Caenorhabditis elegans: one gene and its partners. The protein of the gene in region 1 interacts with the protein of each later gene in a pairwise test. Each region holds a gene or a part of one and is shown on either strand. Other genes may lie near its edges.

The links.
Region 2: the proteins of nhr-21 (region 1) and ceh-9 interact in a two-hybrid assay, tested with the Caenorhabditis elegans proteins (one large-scale study listed by BioGRID).
Region 3: the proteins of nhr-21 (region 1) and lim-7 interact in a two-hybrid assay, tested with the Caenorhabditis elegans proteins (one large-scale study listed by BioGRID).

The regions. Positions count from the first base shown.
Region 1 is NC_003280.10:7,336,866-7,342,931, forward strand, and holds the start of nhr-21 (NR LBD domain-containing protein), read left to right. Parts: upstream 1-2,363; 5' UTR 2,364-2,397; coding exon 2,398-2,413; intron 2,414-6,066.
Region 2 is NC_003279.8:564,456-569,286, forward strand, and holds ceh-9 (Homeobox protein ceh-9), read right to left. Parts: upstream 2,134-4,831; 5' UTR 1,937-2,133; coding exon 1,786-1,936; intron 1,426-1,785; coding exon 1,238-1,425; intron 1,090-1,237; coding exon 985-1,089; 3' UTR 829-984; downstream 1-828. Other genes in the region: Y65B4BR.1 (Lipase_GDSL domain-containing protein), read left to right, coding at 154-655.
Region 3 is NC_003279.8:5,714,373-5,720,000, reverse strand, and holds the start of lim-7 (LIM/homeobox protein lim-7), read right to left. Parts: upstream 3,428-5,628; 5' UTR 3,326-3,427; coding exon 3,190-3,325; intron 1,477-3,189; coding exon 1,429-1,476; intron 1,383-1,428; coding exon 1,318-1,382; intron 629-1,317; exon of another isoform or gene 479-628; intron 90-478; coding exon 4-89; intron 1-3. UniProt on the Caenorhabditis elegans protein: Probable DNA-binding transcriptional activator.

The DNA of each region.
Region 1 (6,066 bases):
TTGTGGAATTATTGTCTTTTTACATTCTACTTACAATTAGTCAAAAAAAGCTCAGAAAAGTAGAGCATGTTTTCAGATTTTCCAGATTTTCCTCCAAAACCAAATCTAAGTATTTTAACGTTATATGACACCTTCTTTTATCTTTGCAATACTTATTCAAAGATCATGCACGGGTTGATTTTTTGGTCTAAAACGTTGTTTTTCTTGTTCCAACTAACAAGACAGGATAGTTCAATCATCTATTGCTACTACATGCATAATTGATTTCCACACATTTATGGGGAAAGAGCGAGAGCCATGAAAATTGTTTTTTCCTTTTTCCTTTTTTCTTCTTCTCACGTTTCATTTTTTTCTCGATATTCTACTTCAACTTGAGCTGGAGTTGAGTAATTTTTGGAGACGACTTCTTTTTCTAAATAAGAGGAAGTTGAAAATTGACTTGAGGGCTTCCAGACGCAGCGAGTCTCGAGAAGTGTGAGAGTATTCCCTTTTTTCCAAAGATCACATTGTCCTTATATTTTAAAGGTCAACAATTAAAACGACGAGTTCATCAAACCAAACCATCGGACGAGAAATCAAAAAAAAATCCCGGTGCAAAAGATAACAACCACGTGACATTGACATGTTAGCTTAGAGTCCTTGAACTGATGTAATAATTAGCTGTTGTTCCGTCCTAAGCCAATTGGCCCCTGATAATCTTCATGACGTGTCAAAAAAGTCATCTGACTGTCCCCAAAAAAGGCGGTCTTCATTCAGAGTGCGTAAGAAAAATGATAAAATAATGTTCCAATTTGTGTCTCCAGTCGCGTTTTTTCCACACCCGCCGTCCGCCACCAGCGAGCAAAGAACATTTCGAGCGCGTGTTTCAATAGTCGTCCCTTTAATGTCTGCGTCTTTTACATTCCAGTACACTATTCATTACGGGTTTCTCTGTCTCTCATCTTCATCTCCATGTACGTGTTTGCACGATTCGGTTCCCGTATACCTTGTAGGACAGGTGTGTGTACCGTGTGAATACTGCCGTACTTATCTTCATGCTTCCTACTTTTACTTTAACACCTATTTGGTATGGTTGTCAAGTTTCAGATTAAGCAGAAAAGTTCACTACGAACATATGTAGTTCTGATTTGACTTTCTGATGACTTTCTGATGAGTTGACCTAAAATATGCACTTTCTTTTAGATTAATCTCGGAGATATACCCAGTTTAGCGAGAAGAAAGAAATTATGGAAAAATGTTGTTGGTCATGGGTCACGAAACATAATAGTTTTCAATATAATAAGATTTACATAACTAAATTTAACCCGAGTTAAAGTAATAAGTCGCCTTTTGCAGTTGGTTTAGAATTTGGGCTCTCGTCTCTGTATTGTCATCCCTAATGGGCTTTCGTTTTTACAGCTTAAAAATTAATTTTTCATGAGTTCTCCCTTAATTTGACTTTTTAATAATTTTTGAAACTACTCAGTATGTTGTATTTCTTTTAATAACAAAAGGTTATATCATTCATGGATTTGCCACCTAAAATTATGATTTTTTTTTGTTTTTTACATAGATGCAACCAGGTTTTGTATTTGGTACTTGCGTAGAACTATTATTATGAAAAGCCTGTATTTATATCTTTGTTTTTGTTGATCAGTTGAGGTAGTTTTCTTATCGGTTAGTTCAAAAAGTTAATGCGACATTTCAAATTTGTGCATATTTTGCTTCCCCCATGACCACAAATAATTTCGGCATTTGTGTAGTGTGTAGTTAGAAAAAGTGATACTGATGTTAAAATTAAATATTTCAGACTTTTCTAGTACGCAATTTTAACTAAAAAATGGTGATTAGATATTTTATACCGATTTCAAAACGTTTTTGATATGCGTAGTTCAGAATTGACTACGGATTTATCGGTTATCTCATTTTTGTTCTTCTCTCAAGTAATATTTTTTGCAGCCAAATTATTATTTTAAGGAAACTGTAAAAATGTAGGTACTTATTGTTAGAGGCTAGAACCACAATGAAAGTAAAGTATGTTTCTGTCTCAAAGATGTTATAGTCTTCAGAACCAACCTCATATGGCAAATTTAAAGCTTGAGTTTATCTACCCAAAAGGTTACCTTTTAAACATTTGAACTTTGAAATCAAACCGGATATTTGATATCATACAATCTAGTTGTTTCCGTGTGTATCAATTTTGTAGGTTGTAGTGTTCGTTAATTGAGAACCAAAATATTCATTTTCGCTTTCATTTTCCTCTTTCTTCCATCATACTTCAATAATTCAAACACGTGTAGTTTGTATGTTTGTTGATAATGTTTTTATTGCCTTTTCTCTCATTAATTACTCCTCCCGTGATATCCAACTGTTTCGTCTTACAGGTGTCCTCTTCACAGAATCAAATCGTCACAAATCATGGGCCCTAGATCAAGTAAGTGATTCCCTTTTCTCCTGCGAATTGTTCATTGCTTCCTTTTCCTATCTTCTTATGTTTTCCTCTTCTTGTTGATTTCTCTATCATATAACATCTTGACCAGACTATATCCATAACTTTATAATCTTTTAAACATACTTTAGCTAACATTGACTTATAGAAATTCAATTGTATTCAATTGATAGAAAACATGAGTTGTGGCTGTGAATAATAAACATTCCAACTTAAAATGTTTTGTTCTTCTCAAGGATTGAATACCAAACTTTAATGTTGCGTACATATCCTGGTGCTTACTAAATTTATATTTTATTCGTATTTTTCCTAATTAAGTTTTTACCAATGTAGCCTTTAATAAAGTTCAAATTAAACCAACAATTTTTCTTTTGTTTCTTTTATCGCAGATAAGCCGGTAAAAATTGGCACCAGCCATAAGCATACAAGTAACTACTTCCTTCTTTTTTCCTTGATAATCTGTTCAATGATCCTACCAACCGAACACATCTTTCATTCAGTGGCTCTTCACACCTTCCCTCCCATTTTCACTTTTTGTTCCGCACAGCCGGTTGTTTCGTTGCTCACCTCCCATTGCTCCATACTCTCACGTCCTCTCTTTTCTATTCTTTAAAGTACAATTGTGTGGAAATGGGTCTGCCACTTGGGCAGTTATGCCCATAGAAACTCCACGGGTCATCTCGACTTTCAAACCTATCTAATTTTCATGATGTCATGAATTACTTCATTTCATTTCATGTCCTCTGTTTTCATATCATTCTTTTATTTCATCCTTTTTCTCTTTTTTGTGATAATAGTTTTGCGTTCATTTTGTTCATTGGTAATTTAGTTTTGCTAATTAACATATTCTGCATCGAATTACTATCCTTATTTCTGTTTTCTGTACTCTTGTTTTTCTGGTCTTATATGACAAGATCATTGAAATAACACGCATTCCTGTCTGCCTCAACGAACTAGAAGAAAAACACATATGAGACCAGGGAGGAAATAAAAATTCTAATCAAAAGCCTAGAGGAGTTTATGACGAAGATGGAAAACATGAAAGAATAAAGAAATTAACTAGAATTTCGAAGAATTTTTTTCTGATATCTTGTCTTTCTACGTTATAATAATCTGCCAAATTCAAACTGCCAAAATGTAAGAAAAAACTATATTTTGAATATTTTAAAACAATATCTTTTGAAATCCATATTTATGCAGTTTCGCCTTTAAATAAATTTACAGTTTTTGATTCATGTATTTTTTTTTTCCTGTTATGACAATTTTGATTTTTGTAAGCAAAACATATTTCTAAATTTTAAATGATTAATATCATCTTAATCGGATTATAAGCACTGATTTCAACCTTATATTTCTATAATCACTTGCGAGATATCAAAAGATCAAAAGGTTTCACATTAGTAAAAATTTTGATAGCTATAATTAAATTGCAGGATTTGCAAGTATTCCTCGACTATAATTATTTTTACCAGCAATGAAGGGTTCCCTATCAAGTGATAGGATTAAATTAAAAACAAAAAAGTAAAAATTGTTCGTTGTTCCCCCTATTCTTCCTCTGTTTATTTCTCTTTTTCCTAGACTCCTCCGCGCGAGCGCAAAATTAATGGGAACAAACAATCGGAACAAAGTTCGTCGCAATGAGAAATGGAAGAGTTGACTGTAGTTTATGCTGCTCGGAACAGATCACAATATGAATGGACAGTAGGAAAAAATGAGCGAGACTCCTCTTTAAAAGTGTGAACAGTTCTTGCACTATTAGCAGCCGAATCATTTTTTGTACATTTCTCTATTCGTGCTGATTGCTTCTCGGCTAATCCATAGATCATACTATATCAGAGATCGCTATATTTTTGAAGAGCACAACTACTACTCTCAGAATGCACCGTCAAAGAGGTAATTGTTATAATTTATAAATTCACAAAATTTTCTAAATTTCAATTCCATGTTTTAAAAAAAGTCCACAGCACAAACTTCAAAAATTTTGAAATAAAGCTTAAGCTTCACTAGTAAGTGTCAAATGAAACTTGATACGGACCACTGCAGTTTTAAAACTTTTGAAAGTCATTTTATACTTTTTCATTTGCACTGGTGGAAAACGAACTTTTGATATCATCTTCCAGCATGTCCTTTAGTTCTTTCTCTGAATAATCTCATTATTATTTAATTTTCCTCGTCTGTGAATAGTTTTTTTTTCAAAAAAAAAACACAATTTTCCAATCATTATTATTCGTTTGAACACCTTCTGGTTTGAAATCTTTTGTTAACTTCAATGGTCACAAAATTTTTGTGACTCTTTTTCTCTAAACTCTCACTGCTCTTTCTTTCTTTGCCTTTTTGCAAGACATTTTTTACATGCCGTGAAATTTTTGTTCTTGGATTGATGTATGTTATTATTATAAAATTTAATAATAGTCGTGCTTAATGACGTAAATCATGTAGTTCCGTTTTGATTTGTTCAATGCTCAAAGGGGGATTTGAACGTGTTGAAACCAAAACTCATTGCTATAAATAAGAAGAAAAAGGCTTTGATCTTTAATTTTGATCAGAATGTTGTGGTTTTCGGGGATTGGCGCTCTACACGATAATATACGATGTGTCCCTGCTACGTGATTTTTTGAACATTTTCGGAGGAAGAAATCTAGAAGTCAGGGTTAATGGCTTTATATTTTATTCTATTCTGATGAGAATTTACAACAAATTGGTTCCTATTTTCTTGAAACATTTGTTTTTTCCAAACTATGCACTTAAAGTAACCACGTGTCAGATCGTGATTAACAAAACAGATGGTAGTGGGAGAAGGCGTCGCGACAGATCAGAAATGGAGATGATTAAAGATCGCACAGATTTTTTATATTTTTGTGATAGAGAGGTCGAAGAGATCAACTGTATGCAGTCAAAATACGCATTTTTATGACAAAAATATTGAGAACAATTCGTTTGTAAAAAATGGAAGAGATCTTTGCTTGTTTATGATGTCACATGTTGAATTGAATTTTATGAAGAGTCTAGACATTCAAAGAAAAAAGGGATTCCCCAAATGACTTCGGCCAACGTTGAATTTAGAAATAGTCATTTCCGCAATAGTGTGTATTTCAAAAGTTTCGATAAATTACCTTATTCCTTTCGATTTTATAATATGCTTCTAATCACTTTTATCAGACCACTAATTTTCAACCAAAATACAGCATGTCAGTTCAGAATTCCAATTTTCGTAAGATTAAAATCTTCTGTCCTGATGTGTCTGGGGGAGTGCCTTTGCCTGCAGATGTCACGTGGAACATTTTTTTGCGGTGCACTTTTCATTCAGACGTCAATGTTTTTTGTTGGAAGTCTGATGAATCTGCCACTACCAATTTTATACTGAGCAGCTCATTAGGTTTAAAATTTGTTCTGGTTTATGCCAATTTATTCATTCATTTTTGTTTTAATTCCTTACATTTCAATTTAATTCTAATTTTATAAATACATGCTATTATATGCTCCAGACTTTCCTCACCTGTCTGTCTTTTGCCAGGTGAACGCCCTGGAAGGTACGGGAGGTACGTCTTAGCTGGGCGTGACACACTACTAGAAATTTTATTTGTTTTTGAGAATTTTCTAGGTGAATGTTCTCTATGTTGTTCATGACATGATTAATT
Region 2 (4,831 bases), on another chromosome or scaffold:
TTCCAAAGGTAGATCAAAAATTAATTATGAAAAAAATTTGCGATCGTATTTTTCGATAATAAGAGCCAACATTTTTCGGCTTTTTATGGAAATTTTTTTTTCAAAAAGAGGAGTATGGTCCATAACTATGCCATCAATACCAAGTCCTTCCAGAACCATCGTATCCATGACCGGAATGTTCGACATGGCCATGCTTCGCCAAATCGACCACGACAAGTATTTCTGCGACGGCCTCCATGTGTTCGAGTGCCCATGCGAGAAGAACAAGGACTTCCCGAATACCGACATCTCGGCTGCCTGCCATCTTTACATGGATGCTCAGCAGGAGATTCAAGACTCGGGAATCTTCGACTCAACAGATGACTTTACATTTGTCGTTCAACCATTCTTCAATGGAATCACAGTTCCACCACTCAAGCCCGACGGAGAAGTCAATCTGGATTGGTTTGCACCGGATTGCTTCCATTTCTCAAAACTAGGCCACGCCAATGTTGCCAAGCACTTGTGGAACAATATCGTTCAACCAGTCGGATCCAAGAACCATCAAGTCAATCTGTCAGATCCTACCATTCCACTAAACTGCCCAGACACCAAGTGCCCATTCTTCAGAACAACTAAGAACAGTGTTGACTGCTCGAAATATATGACTGCCTAGACTGTAGGAAATTGTGTTTGTGTGTGTAATTTGACGTACTTATCGGGTCTGCAATAAAATGTTTTATCGTGTAATCTTTAATTTTTAACGTGTGAGACATAAAAGAAAGAGCACCCTCAATAAAAATATCCACGTGGAGTACACAATATAGCTATCAATAGAGCGAGTAAATATTTTTGCAATAATTATTTATTAGAAGAATGGAGATCAAGGTAAAGGAAGAGATCTTGATTTTGAAAAAAAGATACTGGAAATACTAATTGTTCACGGGATTTCATAGAAGGGGATATATCACGACTTTTTCTTTGAAAAATAAAAACAACATAAAATTATTGCGGCTTCACAATCTGATCATCCGGTATTTCTCCAGATCTTTCCTTTTCCGATTCGATCTTCTTCCACTTGGTACGCCGGTTTTGGAACCAGATTTTCACCTGGAATTTGAGAAATTTCAGCTATGCGTTGAGTGCCGCGTTACGTGCTGCGTTGCGTGCTGCGTTGCGTGCCGCGTTGCGTGCCGCGTTGCGTGCTGCGTTGCGGGCTGCGTTGCGTGCCGCGTTGCGTGCCGCGCTGCGTGCCTACCTGCGTCTCCGTGACATCCAATCGTTTTGCAAGCTCACTTCTGTCACTACTTGACAAATACTTTTTCGCCTCAAACTGCTTCTCCAGTTCGAATACTTGTTTCCCGGAAAATGTCGTCCGCGCCTTCTTTCTCTTTGTTTTTTGACATTTTTCTATAGGAGACTCTTTGGCTTGGTCGAGGCTGGATTCTGAAAAAATATTCTTAACGGCTGATTATTTTTCTACGTGTAGCATTTTTCCGAAATTCATTGAACAAAATTAGTAAATTTCCAAAAAATTTTTTTTCCAAAATTTCGAAAACATTTTAATTTTTTTCAGATTTTCTAATATTTTAAAACAAAAATTGAGAGTAAAGGAAATAAAAATTGTGTCTTGTAATTTTTGTAATTTTTACTCAAAAAAAGGCCAGTGAAATACTATTACAGAAAATACGAATCGATGCACCATGTCAAAAAGAATAGTATTTCACCTCAAATGCACCATGCCCAAAACTAGTCTATTTTTCAACTACAAAACTTCATACACCTAATCCAAAGAAATCAACTTACTGCATCTTCCAAATTCATCAATTTCTCCATTAACAGTTGGTAAGTCAAGTATATCCTTTATCAGGTGACTAGTTCTTCTCTGAGGCTTCACATCAGACGTCAACAGTGCAAAATAGGGTTGAAGTAGTTGGAAGAGCAAGTCAGTTTCCATTTTGCACGAATGAAAAGAACTTCTGAGAGACTTCTCTATACAGTAGGTCTCGAGGTCCCCGCCTTCTCTTCAATCAAATAATTGAAATTCTGGACTCTCGGGGGACTTTTGACGGTTGACGACGACGACAATTTGCCAAAGTGGTCGACAATGATTGCGCAATTGGTGTGGAAAGAAGAAGAAGATGGGTGAGTTCTGAGATGATGACAAAAAGAGCATGAGCCAGCAAATTGAATAAGAGACCGGATTTCGAGAAGGAGGAGGGGGAGAGGAGGATTGGTGGTAAGGGATGATACTTGATGCAATTGAGGGAATGAGTTTCTCATACTTGACTATTAAATACTTTTCTTGAACTTAAATATTTGAATTGAAATTTTGGAGTAGCGGAGGCACATGTGATATTATTGTGCTAATTTGTAATACTTGGACTTTCAAATATAACCTCAATTATTTGAAAAAAACCTTTTGAATAGACCAGCAAGGTTGATCTACAATTTTTCATGGAAATCGAATTAATTTTGTAAGGATGTCTACTGAGTATAAGCTTATTGTTAGGCTTAGGCTTAGGTCTAGACTTAAGGCTACACTTAAATTTAGGCCTAGGCTTAGGCTTAGGCTTAGGCTTAGGCTGAGGCTTAGGCTGAGGCTTAGGCTTATGCTCAGACTTAGGCTTAGGCTTACGCTTAGGCTTAGGCTTAGGCTTAGGTGTTGGCTTCAGAATAAGCTCAGGCGGGGGTGAGGGAAGGGTAGAAAAAAAAGAAAGAGAAATTTCCAGAAATTCACAAAATCCAGAAAAAAACATATCTTTCACAAGTTTATATTTTTATAGCCTAAAAAATTACTTTTAAAATGAGGATATGCAACCCGCACGCAAAAAAACCTTTTTTTTTTTGAGCAATTTCACGGCTCTTTTTTTTTTAATTTAAAAATACAATAAAAAAACCAAAAAAATTTTCCGAGCCCAAATTGCTCCCAAATGCTCTAAATTTCTTTTGAAGTTTGATATATTCCTATTAGAACTTGAGGAAAATGTAAAACTAGAGAAACATAATACTACGCATGTTAAATGTAAATTACTTACTTTTAAAAAGTCGTACGTTATTTTGGAAAGTTTGAGGTTTTTGCATTTTTTCCGTAATATCACTGAACACTTTTATTTAAATATCATCAATTATCGGAAGTTTATAGGTTGCAGGAGAAAAAATATATTCTAGCGGGAAAATGAAATGAGACGGGGGGACATTTTTAACCAAAAAAAAATCAGAAAACAGTTGGTAATAAAATTATTCCAAGAAAGTATAAATTCATGACTTCCATCTTGGGAACATTCTTAAAAAATGTCAACGAATAAATCTTTGTGGCAAACAAACTTTTTCCATAAATGTTTCAGACCTTATATAGCGGACATGAAAGTTGATTGCTTATTTGATATGTCTTGAGTTTATTTTTTTTTATTTCAAGCGAGGGGAGATTTATTTGCCTAGATATATATATAATTATTACTGGAACGAACTGGAAAAAAACTTGGGATCAAAAAAATCAAAAATTCAAATTCAAAAATTCAATTTTTCGAAACTTTTTCTACAGCTTTGTCGAGAAGCAACAGACAAATACTTATAGCTAAAATTTTATTAATATTCTAGTTTTAGTCATGGTGAATCGAGAATTTGTCAATTTCCATGTGGTATCTTAAAAATAAACCGATACACGTGGTGTCAGGCTGTCTCATTGCGGTTTGATCTACGAAAAATGCGGGAATATTTTTCCAGAAAAATTGTGACGTCAGCACGCAAAAATTAATAAGGGTCTAACCAAAAAAACTTGAATCTTGGAAATATTTTTAATTCACCCTAAATTTTCCCCTGATTCCGAATATCTATGTGAAAAAATTCAAAAAAAATTTCCTGAATTTATATTTAAGCTTGAAATCTTTCATAAAAATTTTTTTTTTTTAAATTTCATTTGTACTCGCATCACTTTTTTCAAACTCGCGCCCAAATAAATTAGCGCGCGCGTGCATCGTTTGACTTTTTTTCGTTTAGTTTTTTTTATTTTAGCCGAATTCAATTTTTTTAAAACCAGTTTCATTCATTTTTGTCGGTTTTTTTTTTCTGAAAAAAATGTAAAAAAACGAAAAAAAATCAAACAATGCAAGCGCGCTCCAATGCTAATTTATTTGAGCGCGTATTTAAAAAAGAGACCGGGATACAAATGAAATTCGGCGATTTCAAGCTTAAATATAAAATCTGGCAAACTTGTTTTGAATTTTGAATTTTTTCACATAGATACTCGGAATCAGGGGAAAATTAGGATTCATTCAAAAATATTTCCCAGATTTCGGTACCCCACCTTAAAAATTTTTTTTTGGGAAAACAAGGAAAATTTCTAGCTTGAACTTATTTTATCAATACCTAAAATGCTGAACATTAAAACACACACACCCGTATGAGTATTATATACTTCCAAGGAAACATTTGAAAAATAAAGAGTTCTCCGCTTTGATTATACACTTGTGATATTCTCACGCCTGGCACTTGGCACCAGCTCAAAGTGCTCATTTTGGCTATAATTGTTTGAAGGTATATGAAAAAGTGGAAATTGGGAGGAAAAATGGCATGTTTTGGCTTTCTCTACCTGGCCTATGTGTTAGAAAACTCTTCTATGAAAATTCAGTTTAATTTTTTAATTTTTCTTAATTTTTAAAATTCTAAAAATGGCTAAACTTTCAAAAATATAATTTTTAAAAAGCCAAATACTATAAAATTTCTTTGTTAATTTCTTTATAACCAAAATTAACGATTTTCAAAAGTCAAATTTTTCAAAATTACAAAAAATTTAAAATTACTGTAAGATGCGCAAAAATTACAGAGTTTTCAAAATATAAAACACTCTTGT
Region 3 (5,628 bases), on another chromosome or scaffold:
TACCTTCTGTAATCATCCCGGCAATACGTTTGTCCATTTTTCACGAATGCTGTCTGGTTTTCGTCGAGTGGGCGAGAGCATTGGACACACTGAAATTTTAAATTTTAATTAAACGGGTTTGTATTAAAATCCTGCCTGAAAATTTTATTCATAAAACATTATATTTTGTTATATTACAGTTGCAAAAATATTTTAAGGGTATTTTTAGTACGGTCTCGCATCCTTCGTTTTTCAACAAGATAATTATTTTTAGAGAAAACATTTTTGGAAAAATCGAAGAAATGTTCAAAATTAGGGGGAATCCGCTACAGTTTTTTTTAGTTTTCAAAGGATCACATCTTTTTGCGAAGCCTTCATTTGACAAGTTTTTGTTCGTGGTGAGAGTTGACAATGTCAAAATTCCACAACTGGGTTACTATGCGGTAAACAGGTAAATAGTTAACTGAATAGCGTGATCTATTCTACTACTGTTTAGGTATTCATCGCCTATTCCAACACGACAGATGGTTGCCACCTTGACTGGTCACGCAAGGGTCCCTCTGTCCCAGTGAGTTGTATACACCAATCTTCACACTCAAAAAATCAACAAAATGCGCGAATTTGCGCAGTAATTTGATCCGTCTCTTCCGTGCTTCTCCCCCTTTTTATGCTTCCTGGTCAACACGTTTTGATTTTTTTCTTTTCTTTTTTTCCGTCTTTGTCTCATTTCATTTCATCATCATTGCCCTTTCTCCTCCCCCTTCCCTTTTTTGTATAATATTCACTTTTTGTCCTTTGCTTAAAAGTCGTGGGGCAAGAGCAAAAAGTACAATGACCCGGAATAAAGGTATCAAATTGGTGAATAATTCAAAAGGAGCAGAAAAGAGAAAAGGGGAAAAGGTTGGAATTCTGAATAATATGCAAAATGGAAATCCTACATACATATAGAAACATACATCAAAATGTTGAATAAAAGAACAAACAATGTGTCAAGTCATGCGTGTAAATTCTCTCTTTACTGGACTTTTGTAGCTTTAAGGTATTAAGACAGTTGGAGGGGCTCATTGTGCAATACATTTTTGAATGAGATCATTTGGAATGAATTAGGTTTTCTTGTGAAAATCCACCCCCGTGTAATTTTCGAAATTGTTGTTTAGAAAAAAAACCATGAGACTACACTGCACTCAATTAGTATCTCGGTTGTTGTTTGTTCTATCGAAAAGGTTGTGTATTTTTATTATTTTTGATATATTCAAAACAAACTGAGATAAAATCCTTCAAAGTGAGACGAGATACTTATAAACCATTTTTCAGTTATAAAAATGTTCAAAAACTCACTTTTAGACATTGAGCGTGAAATTCCAGATTGGGATTGACCCTGAGGAAGTACCGATCTGATATTTCTGAAAATAAATAATTTTTTGGAATTTAGTCCCCGAAAGAGCTTACCCAATCGACAGCCGGCACAAACTGCCATCGGTGGTTGGTGCTGACGTTCTGAAAAATGAAAGCTCGATTAACTTTACTCTAACCCAAATTACCCGTCGACTTTGATTTGAAGATTACAGGGTTTGTGAGAGGAGGGGAGCTCAAGCTTTATTTAGGGAAAAGTAATAGAAAGAGGGGAGGGCCACGCGCACAAATGGATAATGATACCCAGTTAGGTGTCATGAAGGGGTTCATGGCTTCAAGAAAAAAGTGAAGAAAGGCAGGGAGAGCCTAACAAAACTCATAAAATAGCTCATTTGTGGGGTGTTTGGGGATGTTAGTAGCTGCCAAAACGTTTTTTATTTTATTTTTGCCCTCTTCTGTCAGCACTGTTTTGCCACGTCATTAATTTTATTGAGCTCCGTTTTTATTCGGAAGAATTTAAAGTCGACAGCTTCCTACTGTTTAAAAAATAACATATTAAAATGTTCTAATTTTAAAACTATAACAACTAAAGGTAGTCATTTCAAACTATTGATAATCCCCTTGTTCAACATTTGACATCTTATTTTAGGAAGTAAACTGGCCGTTGACAAACAAGAAGTAACAATCCCAAAAAAAGAAGGAAAGTTTACTTAATATAAGCAATTATAAACACCCCACCACTACAGTAATCATAATCGGAGCGGCGGCAAATAACTACTTATTTGGGAGGAGAGTGTTGCGATTTGAAATTAGAATTGAAAATTGACCTAGAGAAAAACTTTTTTTGAAGAAAATTAGGTTTTAAAAACTTTCGGAATACAAAACTGTGAAAAGTTAATTTTTATTAATATCATATATTTATTTGAAAACTTTCTAGGTTAAGTTTTCGAGGCCAAGAAAATCGAGAAAATCTGGTTGGGTTGTTGAAATCTTCAAACCGGATATGTACATGTGATGTGCATAAGGCGATTATAGCTTAGATCTTCATCGAAGGACCAGATGAAGTTATGCGTTTTTAAGACAACAAGAAGAAGGTGGAAAAGAAAAAAGTAAAAGAGGAGGGGGACAAATGGAATGAAAGAAATAGCGATTTTTGTTTTCTTTTAAACTTTCAGAACTTGATTGAACTAAGAGCTTTTTGATGGAGCCTCCCATTTGTTCCCCACCCCCATCATATCGTTTAATCAACAAAATATATTTTTGTGTGAGACCCCCCGATTCTTTTGTTTGCCAAACTGGTGAATAAGCAAGGTGTCATGGAAAAATGTGTAGCTCAAATGGGTTTTTTCTACCAAGAAATTTAGTAATGTTATATGACTTCAAAATTTTTTGGAAGTGAGCCCATTAAGTTCAGACACCTTTCGGAACTTTGCTCATTTATTCATTGGCTCATCCCTATAAGTAGTATGGGAAAAGAATCGGAAGAGCACCAGAGCTTCAGATAAAAAAGTTGCAAAATTCAGGGGAAAATAGACGGATATTTAAGGCTTAGAAGTGCGAATAATCTTTTTTTCCAGATTTTCTCCCTCTCCTTCTTTCGATTTTGTTATTGCAGGGATTTTGACATTTTAAGATTTATTTTTCAAGATTAAGTGGAGTTTGAGAGAAGGTGTTGTATTCTTAGATCTGTTAGATGTCTTTTCAAATGGAAATTTTATGAATCTAACTTAACTTTTGTTTTGAATTTTTTAAGCTGTGATTTTCAGAAAATTTACAAAAAAATTTTTTCCGGATGTAAATTCTTTGAAATATTTTGGCCCACGCTTAACATTTTCAAATTAAAAAAAAAACACTCACGTTCAACAGGAGAATCAAGGCACAAGTACTTGGTATCCGGTTCGTCTTTCCAAAATGATCCACCAATTTCGAGATCCGATGTTCCTGGAGATGTCAGTGAGAATTGCTCATAACCATTTCGCATACAGATGTTCATGCCGTTGAACAGATATAGAAGTTTGTGATTGATTACTAGATACACACAAACACAGATAGGACAGTTGGAAGTGTCACAAACGAAAAGAGAACCGAGAGCCCTGGGACCCACGGAGAGACAAGAAAGTGGGCGGAGTCATTGAGCGGGCGGACGACGAGCGACTGGTTGGTAGACTCCACCTACTAAGTGAGGAGAACGAAAGAAGTGAGAAGAAAACCAGCCGGATGTGAACACCCAAGTGATAGAATAAGAGTGTGAACATCCTGATTTTGTGGATATGGTAACCTATATTTCTTTTATTTGTAATTAATTGGATTAAAGCAGTTTTGTGTGAACTATTTGGATCATGAAAAAGTTTAAAAAATGACATTTCAAATGCCAAAAAAATTTTTGAGACAGTTAAATGTTACTGGCAAAATATATTCTATGAAATTACTCATCAAGATTGAAGTAATGAGCAAAAAATTATATTTAAACATTTAGAAAATTTCGAAATTTTTGAACAAAATTGTCTGCTCCTGAAAAAATTAAGAATTAAGGAAAGTAATGTGAGAAATTTGACCTCACTTTAGTTTCACAATTAAAGTTTCAAAATTAAATTACAAATCGCTTAGGACGTTTAAATTTCATAACCCTAGATTTTAGAGTTCAAAATCCATCCTATATTTTAGTCAAATTTTCTCGTACATTTTCAAATGTTTTTCTAGTTTCCTTTAGCTTCCATACTAATATCTCCGCGTACTACAGTTTAAGACAATAAACTCACAAAGTGTAGAACATCTTCAGAGTCTATAAATTATTCATGTAACTTTTCCAAAAAATGGCTGCAATACTGAAAAAATGTGGTATGTTTGCTTCGATCTTTAACACAATCATTTTTCTGATATTTAAATCAGAAACTGACTGGTTCTCTCAGAGGTTTAAAGTATTATGTTCATTGATGAATATTTTAAAAAATTGAGAAAAAAAATTGAAATCAGAAAACATGAGAATTCAACAAGATTATCCCTGGAAATATCTTCTTATCCGGATTCAACCTGACCCTCATTCTTCCTTTGGCTGGTGGACGCCATATTTTCCTTATTGAAAACTATCTAGAAACTAGAAATATGTTTTATTTTATTTTATTTTTGAGTCTCTCTTAGAGTTCATATCGATTGAAATATAGACTTGAAGTCCCAATTAGTCTTGCGTCCCTAATAGTATTGCACTTCTTCGTTAGTATTGCAAACTCTTCATTCTTTTAGTCAAAAAAATTGTACGAAAAGTGAATTTGCAGTTTCTATAGAGTTGCACTCTTAAATTAGCCGACACGTGGACATATGTATGTTTTAACTGATTCCCCCACTTCCTGTATACCTCAAAAGGTGTGAAATAACGAATGAAAAGATGAACATGCATGCGAGAGAAGGTGATAACGGACAAGTATTCGAGGATACTGTAGATTCCATCGATTGATAAGGATTTGAAAGATAAGATGATTAAATGGATGCTGGATTAATCCAGAATATTGGAAAATTTTTAGAACCGGGGAGAAATGTGAAAAATTTACAGCCATTTTTCAACTATTGTGGTGTAAGAGAAAACAAACTTTACAAGTTATATTTCATAGTTTATCGTATTCCATTTAAAAAAATATTTTTCCAAAACACGAAGAAATAGAAAGACCGAAATACAAAATTTTGTAATTTAAATTTTTTAATCTCGAAAATTTCTACATTTTGTACGAAAGTAAGTTTTGCAGTTTTTTGAACACTTCGAGAAAAGCTAGAAATCAATTTTCGCTAAAAAAAAAAGAGAAAACCGATAACTATGACTTACAAAAAAGATATATGCATATTGAAGAAAAAAACGTTATTCTCCAAAAGTCAATGATTTCCTGTTCAGATCACGCACAGTCTCACCTAAATATTGATTCTACGCGTGGTCATCTTCTCTCTCACTATTTTACAACTCAAAAGGTCCCGACAGGAAGTGAGCACATCGGGTAGGAATTAGAAGACACGTGGCAGACTCGAGAAGGTTTTCGAGTTTTCTCGATGGATAGGGAGTTGATCTTAATTAAAGGTTTAGTAGCGCCTGTGACGATTTTGTCAAAATGCATTTAAAATGGTAAAAAAAACTTAATGTCTACATCTAAAAGGTTTCATATTTTTCACAATTTTCAGTCAAAGTTTTGGCAAGTTATAAAAAATTCGAAAAACTCGGAGGTTTTCGGAAGCATTGCTGCAGGTTTGAAAGCCTTCAATATTCAAATACAAACAGATAAATGAAATCAAGAAATAAAACTCGTGAAGAAACTT